3 linked regions of the Alligator mississippiensis genome follow. The protein of the gene in region 1 interacts with the protein of each later gene in a biochemical or structural test. Links are inferred from orthologs where the notes say so. Each region holds a gene or a part of one and is shown in the gene's direction. Other genes may lie near its edges. The genes, in order: LATS2, AMOT and MOB1B.

What was found.
Region 2: of the proteins of LATS2 (region 1) and AMOT, one has a biochemical effect on the other in vitro, tested with the Homo sapiens proteins (3 studies listed by BioGRID). The link is inferred for Alligator mississippiensis from reciprocal best matches to the Homo sapiens genes LATS2 and AMOT.
Region 3: the proteins of LATS2 (region 1) and MOB1B form a complex in vitro, tested with the Homo sapiens proteins (2 studies listed by BioGRID). The link is inferred for Alligator mississippiensis from reciprocal best matches to the Homo sapiens genes LATS2 and MOB1B.

The regions. Positions count from the first base shown.
Region 1 is NC_081824.1:433,394,264-433,401,466, forward strand, and holds the start of LATS2 (serine/threonine-protein kinase LATS2), read left to right. Parts: upstream 1-4,148; 5' UTR 4,149-4,272; intron 4,273-7,203. UniProt on the Homo sapiens protein: Negative regulator of YAP1 in the Hippo signaling pathway that plays a pivotal role in organ size control and tumor suppression by restricting proliferation and promoting apoptosis.
Region 2 is NC_081831.1:66,324,434-66,331,462, forward strand, and holds the start of AMOT (angiomotin), read left to right. Parts: upstream 1-3,937; 5' UTR 3,938-4,042; intron 4,043-7,029.
Region 3 is NC_081825.1:168,294,589-168,302,415, reverse strand, and holds the start of MOB1B (MOB kinase activator 1B), read left to right. Parts: upstream 1-4,810; 5' UTR 4,811-4,881; coding exon 4,882-4,895; intron 4,896-7,827. UniProt on the Homo sapiens protein: Activator of LATS1/2 in the Hippo signaling pathway which plays a pivotal role in organ size control and tumor suppression by restricting proliferation and promoting apoptosis.

The DNA.
Region 1 (7,203 bases):
GATGACTTCATCACACTGCCGACTCATGTTCATCTTGGAGTCCACTAGGACTCTGAGATCCCTTTCTGCTTCCGTGCTGCCAAGCAGGTCATTCCCTAGGCAGTAGGTGTGCTGGACATTTTTCCTCCCTAGGTGCAGAACTTTGCATTTCTCCTTGTTAAATCTCATTCTGTTGTTTTCTGCCCATTTGTCCAACCTGTCCAGGTCTGCCTGTAGCTGTTCCCTGCCCTCTGGTGTGTCCACTTCTCCACACAGTTTTGTATCATCTGCAAACTTGGACAGAGTACACTTCACTCCCTCGTCCAAGTCACTGATGAATACATTGAAGAGTATCAGTCCAAGGACCGAGCCCTTCAGGACCCCACTGCCCACGTCCTTCCAGGTCAATACCAACCCACCCACCACCCTGGGCAGGGTTCTGGGACTCCCTGTCCACCACCCTGAGCAATTCTGGGGCTCCCCCCCGGGTCAGCTGGGAATAGTGCTGGCAGGAGAGTCCCAATTTTGTATTTTTACTCCCTGCCTGGCTCCCTAGTGTCCCCCACTGGCCCAGGTGCTCCAGCCATGCCTCACTCCGATCCCCTCACCATCTGAAATGTGGTATGCCACACTCCTCATCATGAAATCCTGGAACCACCCATGCCTGAAGTCAATGGAGTTTTACTAACACTTCCTAGGCACTTTAAAAATCTGCCAACAAGGAACTAAGCATGACCAGTAAGACTATCAATAAGTTGCCTACCTCAATCTCTCACCAGTTAAATTCTTGCCACCAAATGTACCATCATCTTAGAAACAGAAGAAAAAAGAGCAGTGCTGCCATTGGACGATATAAATGTGCCCATGCACACACACATATGAAGAAAAGCAATCAGTGTGGCAATTATTGAGAAGTCTCCTCACCCATGTCCAAGAAACATTATGAAATTAAGATGGCAGGACAAAGTTCCAAATACTGGAGTGAGCAAATATGTGAAGCACAGGTGGCATGATTATAAAAGCACAGTCAAGATGGTCTGGCCATATAATCAGGATATCTTTAAATTAGCTTATTAAGAAATGCTTTATGCAGCACTGTGCTGTGGTAGATGTTGATGTGGTCCGATTTGTAGAAGATAAAGGATCTTCTAAAATGACCCTTCAGTCAAGGCAGTATTGATGTCTGAAGCTGGGAACAAAAGGCTTATGAATATGTTGCAGTGTTGTCCATGATGCTGGAAATGACTACGAATAGACACATCAAGAATGCAGCGGCAAAATCCAAAGTTTCAGGTTCAGGATCAGCCCTGCTAGTCTGCAGTATCCACCACTGTCTATTTGGTCTGTGACTACGTTGCAGACAAAAATCTTATTTTGCCACCCAAGAGTGCATCTCTGAATGCTTTTGTCAGAAGATGAAATGTGGTCATCATCAGCTACTGAAAATGATAATGATGAGTCCTCCTTATGCTGCAGAGGGACTATTTACATAAATAAGATCTACAAAATCAGGCCCGTCATTACTTCAGGACTTCCCCAGAAAGGTCCATTTTTTTCTCCTCACATGGTAGAGTTATATTAAAAGAGGACTACTCCCAATACTTATCTAGTTGGTTTCTAAGGATTTAACTGAGAATTCCCCTTCATGTATCCAGTTTCATGTACATCCTCAGTTTCATGTACAGCCTCAGATACATTACTGCACATTTTCAGTGTGTAAGTGCATGTGACTCTGATGTAGAACAATAGGGCCATGGTTAGTCCCACACACACCATACCAGACATTTTCCTCTTAGTTGCTACTCCAGGGCAGCAGGTTTTTAGACAAGGGTTTAATCTACTATCATTTATGGCACTGCACACCAACTTTCTTATTGCAACTAAAACTGCTGATAAATACACCTACTCTTGTCAAGCTACAACCATAATAATTGACATATACACAGCTTTATTTAGTATTGTACTGTTATACTGTGATTCACTAGACCCTAAAGAATGTGAAGACAATGCAATATGCTACATAACAAAAATTGATGTCATGTGAGCCATTCTACTTTTCTTGCTTTTAAAGATTGTGAGGAACTTGCAAAACTCTGTTCCTAAAATTATTCATTTTCATGTGGCAAGCATTGTAACCTTTGTGGCTCAATGTGCAAGTCTGCTCTATAACTATACTTTGCCTACAAGGTCATTACATGTCCACAATCTTCTCATATCTCTACACCACATTTGACCATTTTGTTCCACATGCTTGTGCTCAATTTATTATACTTTTTTTTCCAAGATCTTACATTGTACATGTGCCTTCAAGCAGTGGGCACTGCAGCAGGTGTTGCATAGTCTGAGGCTCTGTGCCACAGTCACAGGTGGTTGAACTAATGGTATAGCCCCACTTCTTCATTCATTTCTTGGAGCGTCCAACTCCATTGTGTAGGCGGTTGAGACATTGCTACCTTTGCCGTGGCTCATCGGCCCCTGGTGGTAAAGATGTAGACACCAGAATATCCATTTTTTCGCTTGCAGGTATATTTTCAGCTTCTTGTTTCATATCCATAGTCATGTCTCCTTGAGTGTGGCATCAAGAGGTTGGGTGCTGGTAAGAAAGCTCCTGTATGACTTCAGTCACTTGTGTGCTGTGGGATAGTTGTACAGCGGGTGTCTTACATCTTCAGACTGTCTCAATTTTTCTATCCTGCTGGCCACTGTTCTTCTGATGTTAGGTGGAGTGATGTCAGCCAACAGATACACACTATTTAGGCCCACAATGTAATAGCTGTTACAAAATACCTGGGAAGTGTTAAAATATGCTATGTAAAACCACATTTTCTAACTGCTGCTCCATGTATATTGCAATACCTGTTAACTATTTTGTCTTAAAGAAAGGAAATGCCTTGTGCTGAGAATTTATATTATGTGATGTTTTAACTCAAAATGAAATAACAGTTCTTTTATGACAACCCACCTCCTTCAAGATGCACTGCACAATAGAAATGGGGACATCACCCTAACAAAAGTGACAGGCATAGTTCTAGTAAAACCAAATGTCCTGGAATCATAAAATAGAGCAAGAGAAAGTAGGAACTTAGATGCTGGTTTTTTTGAAAGAGTGAATTGCATCTTTTCAGCTGTTGACTGAAAAGGAATTCTTTATCTGGCATACTGAGTGATAACTACTATAATTTGACACACACAAATGGGTTTTGCATCCAGTACATTCTGGCCCATTAAAATCAAAGTTTGGCCATTGACTTCAGGGAGGGTAGTTTTCACCCTTCATTCTCTTTCAGTGCAATGTCAGCATTATACAGGTCATTTGTGAACAAATGTAAAACTCACATAAAATCTAAAGCAAGTTCTTTCTGACCAACATAATTGACCTGCTATTCATATGGATCCTGGGGAATAACAGATTCCAAATACATCTCATCTAGAAAGTTTGGATGTGGATGCAAATGTCTAGTAAATGGAGATATTTCAAACTGCCTTACAAGTACACTGGTCTCTTTTTCACATGCTGCCCATAAGTAAAAGGCTGTGCATCTTAGAAACAAATTAATCAATTGCAGAACAATCTGCAGGAAACTGTTGTAAACAAGCTGAAAGGAAATCTTTTATTACAGATGGCTTTAGCAGGTACAGCTTTGGTTTAATAAAACTTTATTGGACTGGCTTAGGCTTTGTAACCCCCATTGCAAAAATAAGATTAATTCAAATATACTTTAATCAAGCCCTCAAAAATTTGGATTACTCATGAACAAGCCTTGTTGTCACAGCCATAATGATGTGCATTCAATACCATGCTGCCTTGCTTAATGGGATCTGTCAAATAAGAGAAAATGTCCCTGCTAAATCAAAGACAAAATACAAACATCTCCAACTGATATATTTGAAAGCCTATCATTCAATGGAGTGGGATGTTAGGATTTCCTGATACATATATGTGGAAGTTGATCAGATGAGCAATTTGCATATTACTAAGTGTTGCACTGGAATGGAATGCCCTTTGCAGAGAAGTGAATTCCTTTGGGAGTTTGGTAGGTGGCGCTAAAGCCTGCACCAGTACTGCCATGCTAACGCCGTGGTTATCAACAACCAGTTCTGCACTCCGGATAATTTCTTGCACTAAACAGATAGTTCAGCTGTTGCTCTCTCCTAATTAAAGCAAATAACATGTTTCCCTCTCTTCCCCTCCCCCCACACCCCCCAAAAAAGATTCTGCTGTTTCCTGGAAGAGTCTTCAGTTCTCCATGACATAAAGAAAAACTGCTGGAATTTGGTCCTGCTGCTGACAAGGTAAAAATGTCAGGGATCTGAAGCAGAGGTACCGTTTTGATATGTTGTGCCAGTAGTTATAATTTACATCTAATCAATTACAAGCCTCTGGTGACAATATTTCCTTGTTCTAAGAATAGATCTTGAAAGTATTTTAAGAATTCTGGTTGTCATGCAATTAATAGCGCGCTTTGTTCTGAGTATAAAGATTTACTTGTTTGGAGCAGTAACCGTATTTTGCATGTAAAAAAGGGGAACGGGAGGGTTTTATTGCCAGCACTTCTCCTTACAGAGGGATGAATCACTTGCATTCTTGGCAGCCAAGCGCAAATTCACAAGAATGCTCAGTTTGATCAACTTCCTCCAAAACACTAAGCTTAAAGTAAAGAGGAGAAAAGAGAGTGAGAAGCTTGGATGGGCCCATATACAGAAGACATTACAAGATGGACATCTAAGCATGAAGACAATAAATCTAGTGTACAAACTGTTTTGCCCAAAGCAAGTCACTTGCTGTTACAGGAGTAGCCAGACTAAATTAAGTGAATAATACTGAAAAGAAAAAACAAAGCTGGAAAGAGCCAGAGGGGGAACACTCCAAAATGGGCAGAAATGTGGGATGTAGTGTCAAAAATTAGTTCAGTACAATTTAACAGTTTTATGTAGAGAATGCAAAGTTTCAGCAAAAAACCTCACCTTCCTTCCCCTATAATAATGGAAGATTGCATCAAAGATCCTAAGACTAAGAAACTCAAAATATATGAATGGGCTTAGTTAGGTGTAAAGAAATTCTTTCTTTCTTTCTTCCTTGTTGCTGGCTTTTGTTCCCTCACCCCAACACTCTGCCAGAATCCCATTTCTACATGTGGTACATGGGAGGTGTGTGGGAGTGGAGACACTAGCATTGTATCATTAACTGCATAGCAATTCCTTTGAGAGAGCTGTGGGGTCACCACTCCCAGTGGGAGTCAGAGCCTCAGACATGGATGCACCTGAACTGGTTGCCAGGACATGTTGTGTTTTCCCTATCTTTGTGGTGGTTTAGGAACAGATTAGACAAACATCTGTCAAGGCTGGCCTAAGTATATCTGATCCTGGATTAGAGCCGGGGGATGGATGAGATGACCCCTTGAAGTTCCTTCATTTCTATGATTCTATAGATCTCTGCAAGAAAGGGTTGTTTTGAGGGAGATGTTCATTATGGGTTTCCTTGCACGGCAAAGTGACAAATTATATTGCATGGCAGACATAGGAGCCGGTTGTAAATAAGGTTTCCCAGATCTGGCCGTGCCAGCCCCACCTGCAGCTCCCACTGACTTTGAAGGGGTTTGAAGAGTGATCTTCCCCCTCTATGCGGCACTGGTCAGGCCGCAGTTGGAGTACTTACTGCATCCAGTTCTGGGTGCCGCACTTCAGGAGGGATGTGGACAGCATTGAGAGGGTCCAGAGGAGTGCCACTCACATGATCAGGGGGCAGCAGGGCAGACCCTACAAGGAGAGGCTAAGGGACCTGAACCTGTTCAGCCTCCACAAGCGAAGGCTGAGAGGGGATCTAGTGGCCTGTTACAAACTAGTCAGAGGGGACCAGCAGGCATCAGGGGAGTCCCTGTTCCCCCGAGCACTACCAGGAGTGACTAGAAATAACAGTCACAAGCTGGCAGAGGGTAGATTCAGACTAGACATCAGGAGGCGCTACTTCACAGTCAGGGCGGCTAGGATCTGGAACCAACTTCCAAGCTAAGTGGTGCTGGCTCCTACCCTGAGGGTCTTTAAGAGGAGGTTAGACGAACACCTTGCTGGGGTCATTTGACCCCAGTACTTTTTCCTGCCATGGCGGGGGGTCGGACTTGATGATCTGCTCAGGTCCCTTCCAACCCTACCAACTATGAAACTATGAAACTATGACTTGAATAAAGAATAGGAGGAGCCAGTTCTTTCTTTTCTCTGCATACTCAGCTGAGGTGAAATGATATGCAAGTGATCTAAGGAAGGAAGCAGTTTCCACTGGTGCCATCTTGCTATTCCCACTGCCTTATGTTTCATCAGATTCATAATTTGAGTTTCACAGTTTGAGGCTGTGTCTTGTAACATGCAGATTGGACCCCATTCCTGGCCAGCTTTAGGAATCTTTGCTTTGGCTCCTGCAGCTGACTCCTTTAGTAACAGGAGAAATTCTCAGAAACAAATGGTCAGAGTTCCGCTGCAGCAAAGTGTCTGCTGCTCAGGGGAGGTGGCCAGCTCGGAGACAGGATGCCGGCTGAATAACCCTCCATTCCTGAAGAGGGTGGTCCCTAAAGGTCAGGGTTGGCTTCAATGGGGTGGCAGTGTAAGAGGAAGTTGGCTCAGAGGGTGCTTTCATAAGGCTTGAACTATGAATAAATTCAGTCTCTTGTATTCTCCATTCCCAAGTATTAGTCACTCAGAAATATGAATAGGAAAATAAGGTTAGTGAGAACAATCCTGTTACTGGGCATTTATTATGTATTTCTTTCTTTTGTCTCAGACAGGGGACTTTGTGCAATAGATAAGGCCTCTTGTTGCTGCTTGAGGGGAATATGTACATGTCAGCTGTGCTAGGAGCAGAAATTTAAGTGTGTCCCAACGTAAGGCGCATAGGCAAGGCATATAGGCAGCCATCAGCTCTCTGACATCACAGCAAATCGTTTATATTGTAAATTATGACCCTGCCTTATACATTAAATGCTCTCCTTGGCACAGTGAAAAACTCTCAAGGAATTTATACTTGCACCAGGCATTGTACAGGTTCATATTTGGGTGAGCCTGCCCAACCAGGCCCATCCACAGCAACACCACCTGGTGCATGTGTGTGAAGATGAGGCAGAAGGTAGATCAGCTAAGATACTGGACTAAAAAATACTGGGCTGCTATACCTCTGACTCATGCCAGGAGTGAATTGAACCCAGTGTATCTCCATGTTGTACTTATTTGGAGGGG
Region 2 (7,029 bases), on another chromosome or scaffold:
TCACTAATGAAGATGTTGAACAGCGCAGGTCCGAGGACCGAGCCCTGGGGGATCCCACTTCCCACATCCCTCCAGATCAAAAAAGACCCATCCACCACCACTCTCTGGGTGTGGCCCTCCAGCCAATTTGCGACCCATCTGACATGCTCAAACCAGCGCGGAATCAGGATAGCTGGGGTCAGTACCTCACCCAGACCCAGTTGAACTGGGAAGACTCACAGGGAGAGAGACTGAAGCCAGAGATCCACATTGACGTGAGTCATCGTCCAGAGAAAGGGAAGGGCCAGATCTCTTCACCTAGTTCTGCACCCAAGCCGGGAGTCAGCTGATCAAGTCTTGGTCGTTTCCTCCATAGGGATCAGAAGCCTAAGCTGTGCAGCCAAGATCACACCTGATCGGAGCAGAAAGCTGGCAGGAGAGCCCAAGAAGCCCCAGGAACTAAGGCTAGGCAGTGAACAGACACTGAAGCGAGCCAAGCATTGGACAGGTGAGGAGTAGCTGAACTGCTTACTTTTAATTATCCTTATAAGGGACAGACTCTTGGGTATCCCAGGAACTAAATCTGGCACCTACAGCAACAAGGCTGGGTGAAGATAGGACTTAAAGTAATTAAATCACCAGAGGTATGAGGCAGGAGTGTAGGGGGCTGGAGGAGCTCTCAAAATTTGGCCCTTAAGATCAGTTGGCTGGTCCTGAAGGACACAGTGCTGCACGAGACTGGGATCATTCTTGGTACTGTCCCTGCTCAAGGATTGACTGTTCTCAGACCAGACATCACCGCCTATAAATTTTCCATCAAAGTCATGGCAGGAAAGACTAAGCAAGGGCAGGAGGAGTCTCTCTTGGAGGAGGGAGTGAGCTAAACCTTTCCACAGCCAGAGGCCAGGAATCACCCAGTCACCAAGACTTACTATCCTTTCACAGGTGGTGACTGTGACACTGACAATGGGCTTTGTACTAGGCAGCAGGGAAAATATACATTCAGATTGAATTTTTAAATAAATAAATAGAATTGTCTACTGAATCCAGGGAGAAGAATGATAAATAAATTTGAAATAATTAAACTACCATGTTTTTCCTCGTCCTCAATCTCCCAGGTGCCCAGACCAAGCAGGAGCCATGTAGACATTTGCTGGGCTTGCTTTTAGCTATTATTCATGTTTTGTAGGCTGGGATGCAGACCTCCCACAGCAGCACTGCAGAGGTAAAGAAAGGAGCAAGTCTGTGATCCACAGAAAGACGATGGATTTTGAAAATCTAATACTATAAAAACAAATACCCCACCAGGATTTATACCAAGTCTTTCTTGTCTGCCGGGTGAGTGAGGCCTAATGACAGCACAATTCATTGGAGTGTCACTCTTGCACTTCTATGTCCTGGATTCCCATGGAGTAACAACAAACATTTCTGATGTGGCTGCCTTCTTGGTATTTACAGTGAAAGGTCAGTGTGTGGCCATTAAACACTAAAAACATATTTTTTCTTCATCAAAGCCACCTCTCGAAAAATCAGTCAAAACTTCAGCGTGGCTGGAACACCCATAAGCAATGATTTTTAGTGTGAGAGCATTTTGTCATCTCATTCTTAAAGTTTGTTCAGCACAATTTAAAACGTTTCTGTATCTGTCTAGCTTATCTAATTGCTATAGTATTCAAGCCTGTGAAACTCACTCTCCTGAGAGTTCTGAAACCTCGCTGTGCCTAGATTTTGATTTGAGATCTTCTTCTATGTAGGCCATCCTACAACAGAGGAAAAGATACCCATGCAGCCTCACCGAAGAACAAAATAGAGAAATGGTCCAACATGAGAACATGAAAGATATCCACTTCATTATCAGCATTTAATTACATTGGTAGGTAAGAGGTCCCAGACATTTGAAACTTTTGGCAAGCCTTATTAGTGTTTTAGCACATAGATATCACTGTAGTTAGATATTTATAAATATCTATAAATATGTAGTTACATATTTATAAATACCTGGATTAGGTCCCTTTGATGACAACCTCTTATACTCTGCTGGATTTGTATCAGTTCTAGATGACCCCTGTACACTTCATGATGACATTCCTTTAGATATGAATCATCATCCTTTTATGTTTTAATTATATTTATTTAGAATATGCTTGGGAGGAAATGATAGCTCAGTACCATTAAACATGAAATACATATAACTCTATATAAATAATCCTATAGAAGATCTGTATTAACGTATGGGGTGCCAAAAAAAGATCACGAGCTGTGGAAGGTATTTTGTGCAGCCTATATTTAACAATAGAAACCACCAAACAAAATAAATAAAGAGGAAGAACTGCAGTCCTTGCTGTTGGGAGTTAGCCAATATTTTAAAATAAAAGTCTTGAAAAGGCTACTGTATTATTTTAGTCTTAGCCTTCGGTGCTGCGTTCACACCAACTTAGAGTGAATTCTTTCATTTATGCTATACCATCAACGAAAAACTAAACCTATGAAAACCATTTAAGTGTACAAACCAAACTCCATCAGGGCAGAAGTGTCAGCACCTTCCTCCCCGAGTCTCTCTAGAAATGTCCAGCCCATTACAGTGGAAAGAAATGTCCATGTTTTTATATTTATAAATATATTAGATTATTGACATGAAAGGCATGTGCCCCTGGAGGTTGGGGGGGCACGACGACTGCCTGCAGGCGGCAGTGACGGCAGCGGGGGCATAGCAGTGACAAGCGGGGAGCTCCCTCAGGCAGCCATGGCAGTGTTGGCAGTGGAGCAGACCAGGCGGGGAGGGCGAGCACTGAACAGTGGTCGGTGACCACCTGCAGACGCTGTTGGCAGCAGTGACCACCTGCAGATGCCACCGGCGGTGTAGGTGGCAAGGTGGGGGGTGGTGAGCGGTGACCGCCCGCAGGCCCCGCTGGCAGTGTCAGTTGTGCTTCTGTCAGGGGGTGCATGTGCACTTGTGTGCACCCCCTACGCATTGCCAACGGTAGGGCATGTCTCTCTGTGTATAAAGCACCGTGCAAAGCAATGTCACACTAACAACGAAAGATCACAAGTAGAAGGCTTTCTGCCTGACCTCAGACTAACAGGGCTAAGTACCTGTCTCCAGTCATGGGTAACATCAGTACTGCATCAACTGTGTGCACACGGGTCACCCGTGACTTGGTTAAGCACCTTTAGAAGTGAGAACCTGACCTGTACAGTCCTTACTGTCCTCTGATGAGTCCACCATCAAAGAGGCCAAATATTGTCATCTGCCGGGGCTGTGATATGGGAAGTGTGCAGTTCTTAAAATATCATTAGCCCTGCATTACACCTTTAGGAAACTGCAGTGGCAGCAGCCATATTCCAGTCAGCAGGTTATAGAGTAGACAGACATGAGAGCTCACACTGTCCTTTCCCATTTCTCACTTTATTTCCCTCCTTAGCGCCTCAAACACGTCCATCATCTGAGGTTTGCTTTAACCAGCAGTTTCTCATCACCAGCACCCCTCCCATTCCCCGGTGCAACTACTGCAGGGAATAGGGATGTTACAGGATGGCATTTAAAATCTTGGTCCTTAACATGGATGTAACAGCTGGAAAGGAGCAGAGCCAGCACCAAGGGAGTTGCCAGCTCCCCAGGAAGACCTAAACAATTGTCTCATGCACCGTGCTTTGGTGACCTCTCTGTTACTCTGACATAAATCATTCCAAGTAATAAGGCTGCTCTTTGTGCATAAAAACCCCAGCACCTGGTTGTTTTTAACCCATTAGGACCTGGCCCATTTTTGATCCATTAGGACCTGGCCTGGACCCCCGAGCCCCACCGCACAGCCAGGGCTGAGATGGAAACAGCTTGTGGTGCAGCTGAGAACTACAGTTCCCAGCAGGCCGTGCGGTGCAGGCTCGCACCGAGCTCTTCTGGGAGTCCTAGTCGGAGCTGCCTGATGAAAGTTAATAACTGAATCTGGGGTAGGCAGTTCCCAGAGCTCCTCGGTGTCTCTCATTGTTATGCTGCCTTTGTCACCTCCAGGGGAAGAGGCTCAAGATGGATGAATGGGATGCTGCTGGGGCAAGGGCCCATGGGGTAAGGAGCCAGGGCACTGCCCTGTGGGGTGCGGAGGGCAGGAGAGGGTCTCCCTGATGCTTGGCTGCACTGTACCTGGCTCTGTCCAGCCGCTGCCTTGGCAGACATCCTCTGCCTGCCTGCTGGGCTGATTGCACTGCTGGTTTGTTATGCATGGGGCATGCTGCGGGCTCAGAGGCAGGGGGAGGCTGCAGGTGCAGCCGGGGAGCAGCCCCCAGCAGCGCAGGGGGAAGGAAGAAGGCGCTGCCTGGCTCTCTGCTGCTGCCCTTTGAACTACTTTGTGTCCACTCACACAAGGGGAGAGGGCTGGGGATGGTGGATGCAGCCACTCAGTCATTCTCCTCCCCCTTCTCCCTTTCCCGGGCTTTAATCTCCAAAGCTTTTGCTGAGACAGGAATGTGCTGCTACCTCCCATGGGGAGAAGAAAGCCCTGCTGGTTTCCTCCCCTCCCCACAGAACCTGGAGTGGGAGTGCGGTGCCCTCCTCCTCACCCCAGACAGAGCAGCCCTGCCCTGCCCTCCCCCTCCATCAGGTCCCCAGAGAGATATGTGCTTCCCTGCTCCCCCCTGCACAGCCCTGCCCACCTCTTACCCCCTGCATTTCAGAGAGAGCCTTGCCACTTGGTTCCTTTTCTGTCCCTGCCACCAGAGTCTAGAGGGATGCAGGCTCTCGCCCACTCCTTCCCAGCCTACGTGGCCAGAGAAGAGCCATATTTCCCTCACCATATTTCTCTCCCTGTGTCCACAGAAAGGCACCCCTGTCCCTCTTGCCCGCTCACCCTCCACACTCACAGCCTAGAGGCCAGAGATAAAAATGGGCTGGGAGCACAGGTGATGCATAGGAAGGGTACAGGGGGGGCACACGCCCCTCCTGAGATTGGCCGCTGCTGACACTGCCGCTGGCATCTGCAGGTGGTCACTGCTCACCAGCCCCCCTCGCTCACCACCGACACTGCCACAACCACCTGCGGACGGTCCTTGCTCGGCCCGCCCTTGCCACCGATGTCACCACAGCCACCTGCAGGCGGTCCCCACTCGCCACTGCCATGCACCTGCCGTTGACACCACCGCCAACACCACCACTGCTGCCTGTGGGCAGTCGCCGTGCTCCCCCAGCCTCAGGAGGCACATGTTGTTCATGGCTGGGAGGATAGCTCAGTGGCTGAGGCACTGGATCAGGGTCCTGGTAACCTGGGTTCACTACCAGGTTTGTCACAGATTCCTTTTGTGACCTAGGACAATTTGCTTCCCTCTCCTCTGTGCCTCCTTAGTTTTTCATCTCTACAGAGGTGATAATCCTTCCCTGCCTCTCAGCAGGACTGTGGACTATTCATGAACTCTACAGTACATGGACAAGAATGGGAGAGTGGAGAAAGTGTTGTCTTGCCTTAAAGCACTGAGCAATACTGAGGTTATGCAGCTCCCCTTTCTTCCTCCATCTCCCACAGTCCAGATGGAGGATGCATCCTTTTCTCTCCCTCCCCTCTCAAGTCTAAAGATTCACAGAAGTTTAGGGCTGGAAGGGACCTTGTGAGATCATTAGGTCCAACCCCCTGCTCTAGGCAGGACAAACTGCTGGGGTCAAATAACTCAGCAAGGTGAGCTTCCAGTCTCCTTTTGAAGATCTCCAGGGTAGATACCTGCACCACCCCCACAGGGAATGTATTTCAGAGAAGGCAGCTGCCCTTCTTTCCTCTTCCTGAGTCCTCCAGAGTCTTTGGGAAGGTGTTAGGTCATCCTAGTCCTCAAACCCTGTAGCATCTACACCAAGATTCTGCTCGGTTTCTTCAGTCCTTACAAGCCCTTTACATTAGAGGTGCACCAATACATTGATCTAATATTGGATTGGCACCAATATAAAGAAAATGGATTGTATTGGAAATCAGGCTGATGCAGCCAATAATGTGGCCAGTAAATGCCCGTGCATGCATGCAGTCGCAGAGCAGCACGCAGGCAGCTAGGAGTACAGCCCGGCAGCTTGGAGACCTGTGTGCAGCTGGTAAGTCTGTTGTGGTGGACGGGGACAGGGGAGGGAAGGGGTGTGGGGAGAAGCAGATCAACACCCCAACGGTGATGGAGGGAGGGAGTGGGGCGGGGCAGGGGCAGGAGCAGGGACAGGGTGTGGGATGGAGCTGCAGCTTGTCCGGGGGATGCAGGGAGGAAGGAGACTCCCACCGTGGTGTGCACCCTGGGAGGGCATGGGGAGTGCGTATGCCCCCGGTTCTGCACGGGGGTGGGAGGCAAGGTATGCTGTAGCTGTGGGCTGGGGGATGCACCGGGCTCTTCCTGGTTTGTGGGGGCTGTGCTCCCAGTGCATGGAGGCTGTGCTTGGGGCTGTCCTCGAGGCTGTGCTTAGGATGGGCAGCTGTGGTGCTGGGAGGGGGGTACAGTGAAATTTGGGGTGGCTGCAGCCCCCCATAACTCCCTCCCAGTGTTGCCACCACCCACCCCAAGTGCAGCCCTGGCCCAACCCTCCCACCACATGCTGGGAAGAGCCTGGTGTAGCCCCAGCCCACAGCTGCAGCCCTCCCATACAGATCCAGGGGCACATGACCCCATACCTTTCTGGGGTGCGTGCAGCTGTGGGAGCCACCCCCTACCCTGTGTCTCCCGGATGAGCCATGGCTCCGTCCAGTGCCCCACCCCACCCCGGCTGGGTAGTGCCTACCCAAGCCCCTGCCCCACTCCCTCCCTCACTGTGGGGCCTTGATCTGCCCTCCCCCCCACCCCATGTCCCTTCTCTCCTCCATCCCCATCCATCACAAATGACTTATCAGCTGCATGCAGCTGTATCAGAAATCGGATCAGTATTGGTCAATATGTCTCCTTAAAAATCGGCTATTAGTATTGGTCCCCAAAATCTCTATCAGTGCACCCCTACTTTACATTCATCAGACTAGGAGCAACTTCCAGCTCTCCAGTTGTCATGTGGGGGACCAAACTGAAAAGTTTGTTAACAATCCCAGCAGAGTTAATACATTTATCTTA
Region 3 (7,827 bases), on another chromosome or scaffold:
GTGAGTTTCTGCATTTAGTACACTAATTTAATCTTTACTGGCCAATAAAACATGAAAACTTCCATTTCGAACCAAAGCATTTTTTCACGTTTCAGCTTTAGAACCCTTTCAAAATAATTCTTTATGTTATGTGGTACAGCAGATAACCCAAACTGACAGATGTGAGGCCACTGCTAGATTTAACTTGCCTTTACTTGAGAGCTAAATAGTTCTACACTTACATAACACTGCAGTATGCTGCCAGTCCCTCATATCCTCAGCATCTGGTGTAAGCATCCCTGCTGACTCTTCCCTGGTACAAATAGAACAATAAGACATAAGAACATAAGACATGAAATATATAAGTTATGCAATTATTTCTCATGACACTTAAAGCAAAATGTTTCCTACAGACTGCTTCAGTAACAGGCTTTTTTATTTAGCTTGCTTCTGAAATTAAGATGAAAGAATACTTTTGGGGGGAGGAGATGGAGGTTATTAGTAGGAACCTACTGAATTCATGATTGTGTGATTTCCACAGAAACTGCAAATTCAGATGGGCTCCACAGAAAATGGTGGGCTCTGTGAAAAACAGCAGGCTCGCTGCAAAAAAACCCCAACAACTTACCTGCAAGCAGAGGAGAGTGAAAAGCCCTTCAGTCTTGGAGTAGGAAAGGAAGGTGGGGAGCATGGTGGTGGAAGGAGGACAGTGGAGGGCAGGGGGCAGGCCGGAGGTCAGGCAGACAGCAGGGGGCACGGGTGGAGGATGGGGAGGCGAGGCTGCACAAGCATCTGGACCAAAGCTGTGAGCCAGCTGTGGTAGGCATCTGGAAGGCTGCAAGTGACTGCACCAGGGTCCACAGAGCCTTGGCATAGCTCATTGTGCGCGTGCACCTGCTGGTGGCAACAAGCCATGCCGAGGCCCTGCAGACCCTGGTGCAGCCGCTTGCAGCTTTCCATCTACCAACCAGACCCAGACCCAGACCCGGACCACAGTCCAGCTTGGTGATGGCCAGAAACCTTAATTACCCTGATTAAACCTGGGAAAACATTAATCTATGCTTAATAATGTGTGGATTAATGACTTCCCTGGGCTTAATCAGGGTAATTACATCAAGTTTCAAACCATCTGGCAATCTGTGGGGAGGGATGGAGCGGGACTGGCAGGGCCCCTTGGCCAATCAGAGATGTGGGCAGGTGGGGGACGGGGATGGGAGACTGCTGTGCTCAGCCCATGAAAATGGCAGCTGGACCCAGGATCTGCCCATGAATTCGGTCAGCCGTTTGGTAGAACCCCTAGTCAAACATGAATACACCAGAATTTGGTAAAGGAGTTTGTAACCTTTTTTTAAGTATACAACATCATTTACCTAGCCACCAATTCTACCATATTATCTTGATATTAATTATCAAAAATATACTGAATCCCACATTTAATAATGTGTTTTTACTAGCAGTGCCCAAAAGGGGAACAAAATACAATATCATGTGAAACAGTATCTGATTATCTCCAGTCACCCAACAGACTTTTATATGTTCAACTTGTCTTAAATACAGCATTTGAAAACATAATTATCAGTTGCTCAGAGATGCTCCAGACAGATATTCGGACTTAGCCTGGAACACAAAAAGTCCATCTGAGCATTTGAATGCAGAAGGAAGACAGAAGGTTGTAACTGTTCAGAAAAATCTAGAATGGATCCTATACAAACTTAAACATTCTAAGTTAAATTCTGAAATCTTTCAGCAATATCTAACTTGCCTTACAACAACCTGGAAAGTTGCACCTTGTCTTATATGTGTGGACTCTAGACTCAACTGGAGCCCCCAAGAAGTCATCAGGAATTTTGTGTCATTCACTTACACAGATATAACATTTCACATGATTTCTATAGCCTTATATTGCATTTTCTGCTGTAAACCAGCACTTGGATATATCACCATAGAACTGTTTTGCTTCCTTTTTTACATTAATGCAATTAATATTTTATTCTAAACCATTCCATATGTTTTTACTTTTTGGCTTACACTAGAACAGATGCAGCAACTGAGTGAGAAACCCACAAGACAATGGGAGCCTCATTCCTGAGTTAGACAAATTGTTATAGAAGGGAGAGAGACCCAAGACATATTTCATAGAGATCCAAAATGTAACTTGATGCTATTCTTCAGTGCTTTGATCTATATTTTTTGAGCTACTGGGCACCTCTTGAGATATTTTATGCACCCTCAGTTCCCATCTAGCATCTCAAAGGAGTGGCTCTCTTTAAAGAAACCATGATTCAATCTAGTTCCTCTTGCAATCAAATACTATGATTGCATTTATTACTTGAAAAGGGGTGTGTGTGTGTGTGTGTGTGTGCGCGCGCACGCACGTATGTGTGCGCATGCACACAAACATGCATATGTACATACATACATACTCATGTGTGTGCGCATAAACCCCCTGTAAATAGGGGAACACACTCCCCCTCCGTGCTTCTTTAGGGGAAAAATCATTAAGGCATGGGTCAGGTAAAGGCAGTATTGGCAGTTTGCCCAGAGCCTCAAGGCAGGAATCAGTTTGCACAAACTGAAGTATGTTGTAACTCCCTTATCTTTAATTCAGAGGTGTGGTCCTAACTGGCTCCTGGCTTTTGCTGATTTGGTTCAAGATTGCCTGCTAACCTGGGTTTGCTGGCTTGGTTAATTTTTTTAAAGCCATTTTGATGTCTTTATGTAGAAAAGGAGACAGTATCATAAATGTAGTAGAGCAGAAATGCACAGAATTCCTTTGAACAAGTACCTCAACCTTTCTGTGCTATAGCTTCCCTACCAGCAAAATGGAGATAATATTATTTACTTATCTCATAAAGGAATCTATGAGGCATCATAAATATTTCTGAAGTACCTGGTGCTATAGAGGAAAAATAATGCATTCCTATGTCCTGCAAACTTAGCTCCCAGGATATCAATGTGTTATTAAATTCCCTTTGGGAGTGAGGGAGCACAGCTAGGCTACAGTATAACATTATGTATTTTTCATGATTGTCCTGCAACTGCTCGTAAGTGTAAATGTACCCAGCAGCTCTAGTGCATTGCTCTATTAAACAGGAAGGTTGCCTAGCAAAGGGGCCTACACTTGGGGTCTAAACAAGCCGACATGGGATAATTTCAGAGGCTTATCTGAACTTCCTATGATAATGTTCTCAGTCCACACGATCTGAACTGAGGTGTTAGGAGAAGTGGGCATTGGGAGACCTTGCTGTTGGAGATAGGATATTTTGAGAAGGATTTGGTGTTTGAGGTAGCACTGAGGTTTAAAGGGACTCTGAGTTTTAAGAAAGGCCTATGGGAAGATGGTAAAGAGTTTGAATGGGAAAGTGTTTGGATGTCTTGTGGAAAGTGCGGAGTGGGAAATGGGGCCTCAAAATAAGTTAATAAGTCCATTTGTTGTAAAGAATCCTCACTTGTCCCCACAGTGTCCCGTTGCCTCACAATCATTTTGCTGGTTGCTGCATGGGGCTGGGAGGGAATTTTGCCCCCCACCCGGTCAGGGTTTTTTAAGCCTTCTTCAGGGGTACTGAGTGTTGGCTGCAGCCAAGGCTGGGGATTTTGACTGTGGTGTGCCAGTGCTCCTGGTGGGACTTAAACCTGGAGGATCCTGGCTGGAGAGTTTTGCACCATTGCTCAGGATCAGAGCAATCACTATATTTGGGGTCAGGAAGGAATTTTCCAGGGTCAGTTTGGTGTGGGCTGGGGGGGCAGTGTTGCTTTTCTCTGTAGCAGGGGGCACAACCCTCTTCCTGGGATCTCTTGAGTGTATATTAACCTTTACAGAAGCAGGACCTTGGCTGCCTCGGCCCTCCTGCTTTACCTGTGGCAGGTTAGGATGTTATGTCTCGTATTGTCAGGGTTGACTGTGCAGTTTTGGACAGGCTGTCCAATGGATTTACATCAGATGGTTTAGATAGGAATGGTCCTGCCTCAGGCAGGGGTTGGTCGTGCTGATCCCTGGAGGTCTCCTCCAGCCCTGCTTCTCTGTGATTCTGATTCGTGGACCTTAGCTTCAGAATCCCACTTCTGTGAAATACAGAGATGACAAGCCCTATCCACGTAGCAGAGGAGAGGCTGGGAGACAGGGATTCAGTGACTTGCCTAAGGATAAATGGAAACCTTGTGACTGCGCTGAGAACCAAACTGAGGTGTTCAGGATCCCAATCTACTGCCCAGGTGACTAGACTTTCCCACTGGCAGGTGGTGCTACAGGCATCGGAGCTGGGGAGGACTGGCCGCAGTTCAGAGATGGCAAGAAGAAGGCAGTGAGGTCTTTTTCTCGGAAAAAAAAGTAGATGGGGCTTTAGGTGGGAGAGGTGACTGGTGCCCCGAGTCTGGGGGGGCACCCGCAGAAACTGGTGTCAGCGTTGGGGACCGTGAGCACCCACAGAAGCCGGTGTTGGCGTTGGGGGACAGCCCAACGTGGGGGGGAGCATGCGCCGCCCCTAGCAGCAGCCCATGGGGCTAATGAAGGCTTTGGGGTGCGGGTGCTGGGCGGGTGAGGAAGGAAGCAGTGCTAGTGGAGAGACCCGCGGTGTTTTGGGCAGATCTCGGCCAAGATGGCATCAGTCAAGGACGGGGACGTTCAGGGCTTGGGAAAGGCTCGGGGCTGGAGATGGCAGGTGTCTGGAGTAGGTGAGAAGCGAGCAGGGCCGGCGGCGGCACGTTGCGGAAGAGCAGCGGCGGTGCCCGGCCCGGGCCCGTGTGGAGCGGGTGCCGGGCAACGTGGGGGCGGGGCGGGGCGGGGCTGGAGGCGGCCCCGGGCGGCCGGTGTCCGCGCCCCGCCCCGCCCCGCCCCCGCGGCGCCCCCACACGCCGCCCTGCGCCGCCGCTGGGAGCCGCCGGGCCCGCTCTGCCGCCATCGCCATGAGCTTCTTATTGTGAGTAGCGCCCACCCCGCAGGGGGCAGCCCCGGCCTGTCCCTCCCCTCCTCTCCAGCCGGCAGGAAATGGTCGCGGCCGGCCCTGGGCTGCCGTGCGGTCCTGCTGCAGCCTCTGTCCGCCGCCCGCCCCCTGAGGCGTGGGCCTCGGACAGCCGTAGTGCCGGGCAGTCGCCCCGCCAGCCCGCGGCGCTGGGGCCGCCTGTGAGGAGCCCGACTCGGACAATGCGGCCGCGGCCCCGCTTTGTGTCCGGGCGCCGAGCCGGCCCCGGTCCCGGCCGCGGGCAGAGCGGGCCGCCGACGCCTCTGTGCAGCTTCGCCGCGGCCCGTGCTCGCCTCCCCATGGCCGGGCTTCCCCCAAGCCCAGCACAGGAAAGCTGGGTCTCTGCAAGGGGAAGTTTGTGACTCCTCGGGGCCCACGACCCCAGCCGTCCGCATGCGTCTCGGGGCACGGGGAGGGCACGGCACCGGCCGTCTGCGCCCTGGGGAAGCGCGCGGCCACACTTTGCTCCTTGAGCTTGACAGTGCGCTGCTAAAAAAAACAATAAAAAATCCCTCGAATGCGCGGGGCCTTCAAGGTGACAGAGAACAAACCCTTGCCCCTGTTAATGGAGAGGAGAGGGAGAGCTTCTCAAATGGTGTTTCTGCCAAGCCTGCTCCGAATCGGAGGGACGGGTACCTGCTTTGTGAGGAAATGCGGTGTAGTTGGGGGGCTGTACGGATGATGCATTTATGAGCCAGTTTGTGGAACGGCAATGTGTAGGTACCAGACAATGAGACCCTTTTCTCCTCTCCTCGACTGGAACCAACACCGTGTTTTCTTTCCTCTATGGGTTTTTAATATGAGGCATAGAGGCTGGTGTGTGTGAACGTAGCTTATTTTGCTGTAGTAAACATTAGGAATTAAAACTGAAGTCTGGGCTCGGATACTCTGTATGCAGGAGATGTATATACTACAATAAAGCCAAGGGGGTAAGAGGATTCAGGCTGGATGGATGTTGCTAATAAGAAGGCTGTTGTTTACTGGAAATATATACAAAGCTTCCATAGGAAATAATGACAGATCACAAGACTTATGGTTTTGCTATTTAGCTTTGTGGACCCGAGTGGAACTAAATGAACTTTGTTCCCTCCCCTTGGGAGTGGAGACAAGGTACTTAAGACAATTAATGTAAATGGGTTCAGTGACCTAGTGACTAATCAGAGGGTACCCTCCAGGGAAAAATGGGGAAAATGGCAGCTGAAAAAGCCACCCCCATATAGTTAAACTCCACATGGGGCTTGATCCAACAAGACTCATTTGTGCTTAAATTTAAGCATATGTTTAAGCCTCCAATGATATCAGTGTTATAACAGCATTTCTCAACCTGCAGGTCATGATCCCAAAATAGGCCACAACAATACATGAAAGGGTTGTGAGCAAACTCAAAAAATGGATCAACAAACTTTAAAAATGGATTCTCCTTTAAAGGAGCAAAATGTGGGGAACCGCAGCTTTTCCCTTGCAGGCTGGCAGAGTTCCAGCCTGCGAGGGGCTGCTTGGGACTCCCTCGTGCCCCACGCACTACGAGTCTAGGGGCAATGGGTCGGGAGTGAGGGGCACTGGGCTAGGACTGGCTATCAATGTTTACAAATGGATCCTGGTACAAAAAAGGCTGAGAACCACTGATCCAAAGCAATGCCTAGCTACACTATACTCCTTGTTTGCTGGTAGATGTGAGGGTGACAGGATTTTTATCAGGATGTTGTCCTTGAATTCTGGTTTGAGCGTTAGAACTTCATAAATCTCAGCATTTGGCCAATTGCTTTCTGAAAAACATGATGCTCCACCCTCTTCTAGCTGCTGCGAGGGAAAAATTAGTTTATGGTTTCATTTCTTTTTCCAGAGCCTTCTGGCTTTTGGGGTCAGCTAAAGCATGTCTCTGCTATTCTGCTATTTTTCCCTAGCTTCGAGTGTTTTGTCTTGTCCTGCTGCATCTGTGATCTTGATACCCATTCATATGGGCTTGGCTAAGCTATTGGAGTTGTGCTACCTACTGAGTCTGCAGACCCAACTTATTAACATTTTGAGGGTTATCTTTCAGATTGTACGATCTAGAAACAATTATTTGGCAAATATTTTTTTCCTTTTTTTCCTCTTAAATATTACCTTAAAAGGTTAGTGTTTGTTTTACTCAAAATTTACATTTTTGTTTGCTTGCTTGTTAACTATTTATTATCTTGGTTATCTGTAAAGATATGCAAACTGTTATATAACATGAACATTTTTATGTATTCAGTAGCCCAGTGTTGCATTTTATGCCACAAAGCAAATGCACTTTTGTACAGATACAACTTTATAAAGAAAATTGATCACTGTTCAGGAGCAAAGGTGTAGGTTTTTGTGGTGTTTTTCCCCCCACTCTGCACTCCAGTCGTACCTGTGTTGTCTTTCTCCAACTGGTTATGTGTTTTGTGGGGTTTTTTTTCTGTATTCATCTGAAGTGGTTTTGTTATGAATGCTTTTAGTAACCGTACCATATGGTGTTGCACCAACCTTACGTATGAGTACAGGTTGTATCTTCAGAAACTTTTCTGTAATTCTCAAGTTTGCCACTGAAGCACAGTATCAGAAGCCACATTTTTTCCCTTGCTGACTGTTTTTTCCAGTAATCCAACACTGATATTCGTACAGGACTTAATTATTCAGGAAGCCAAAGATCTCAGAGAAATTCAGAGTATCTTTAGTTTTTATTGATCAGGGACAGGGTTTTTCCATTTTATTGTTAGGGGATAGTTAGCTGTCAGGAGAAAATGTATTGGGTTGATTCTTATCAACGTACAAAGAAAGAAATCAAGGAACATCTTCAAGTTTGAAATCACATTTATTTTGGGAAAATTCTGTCTGTTGCTGTTTATATATAATGTCTAAAATTACTGTCTTGAGAGAAGTT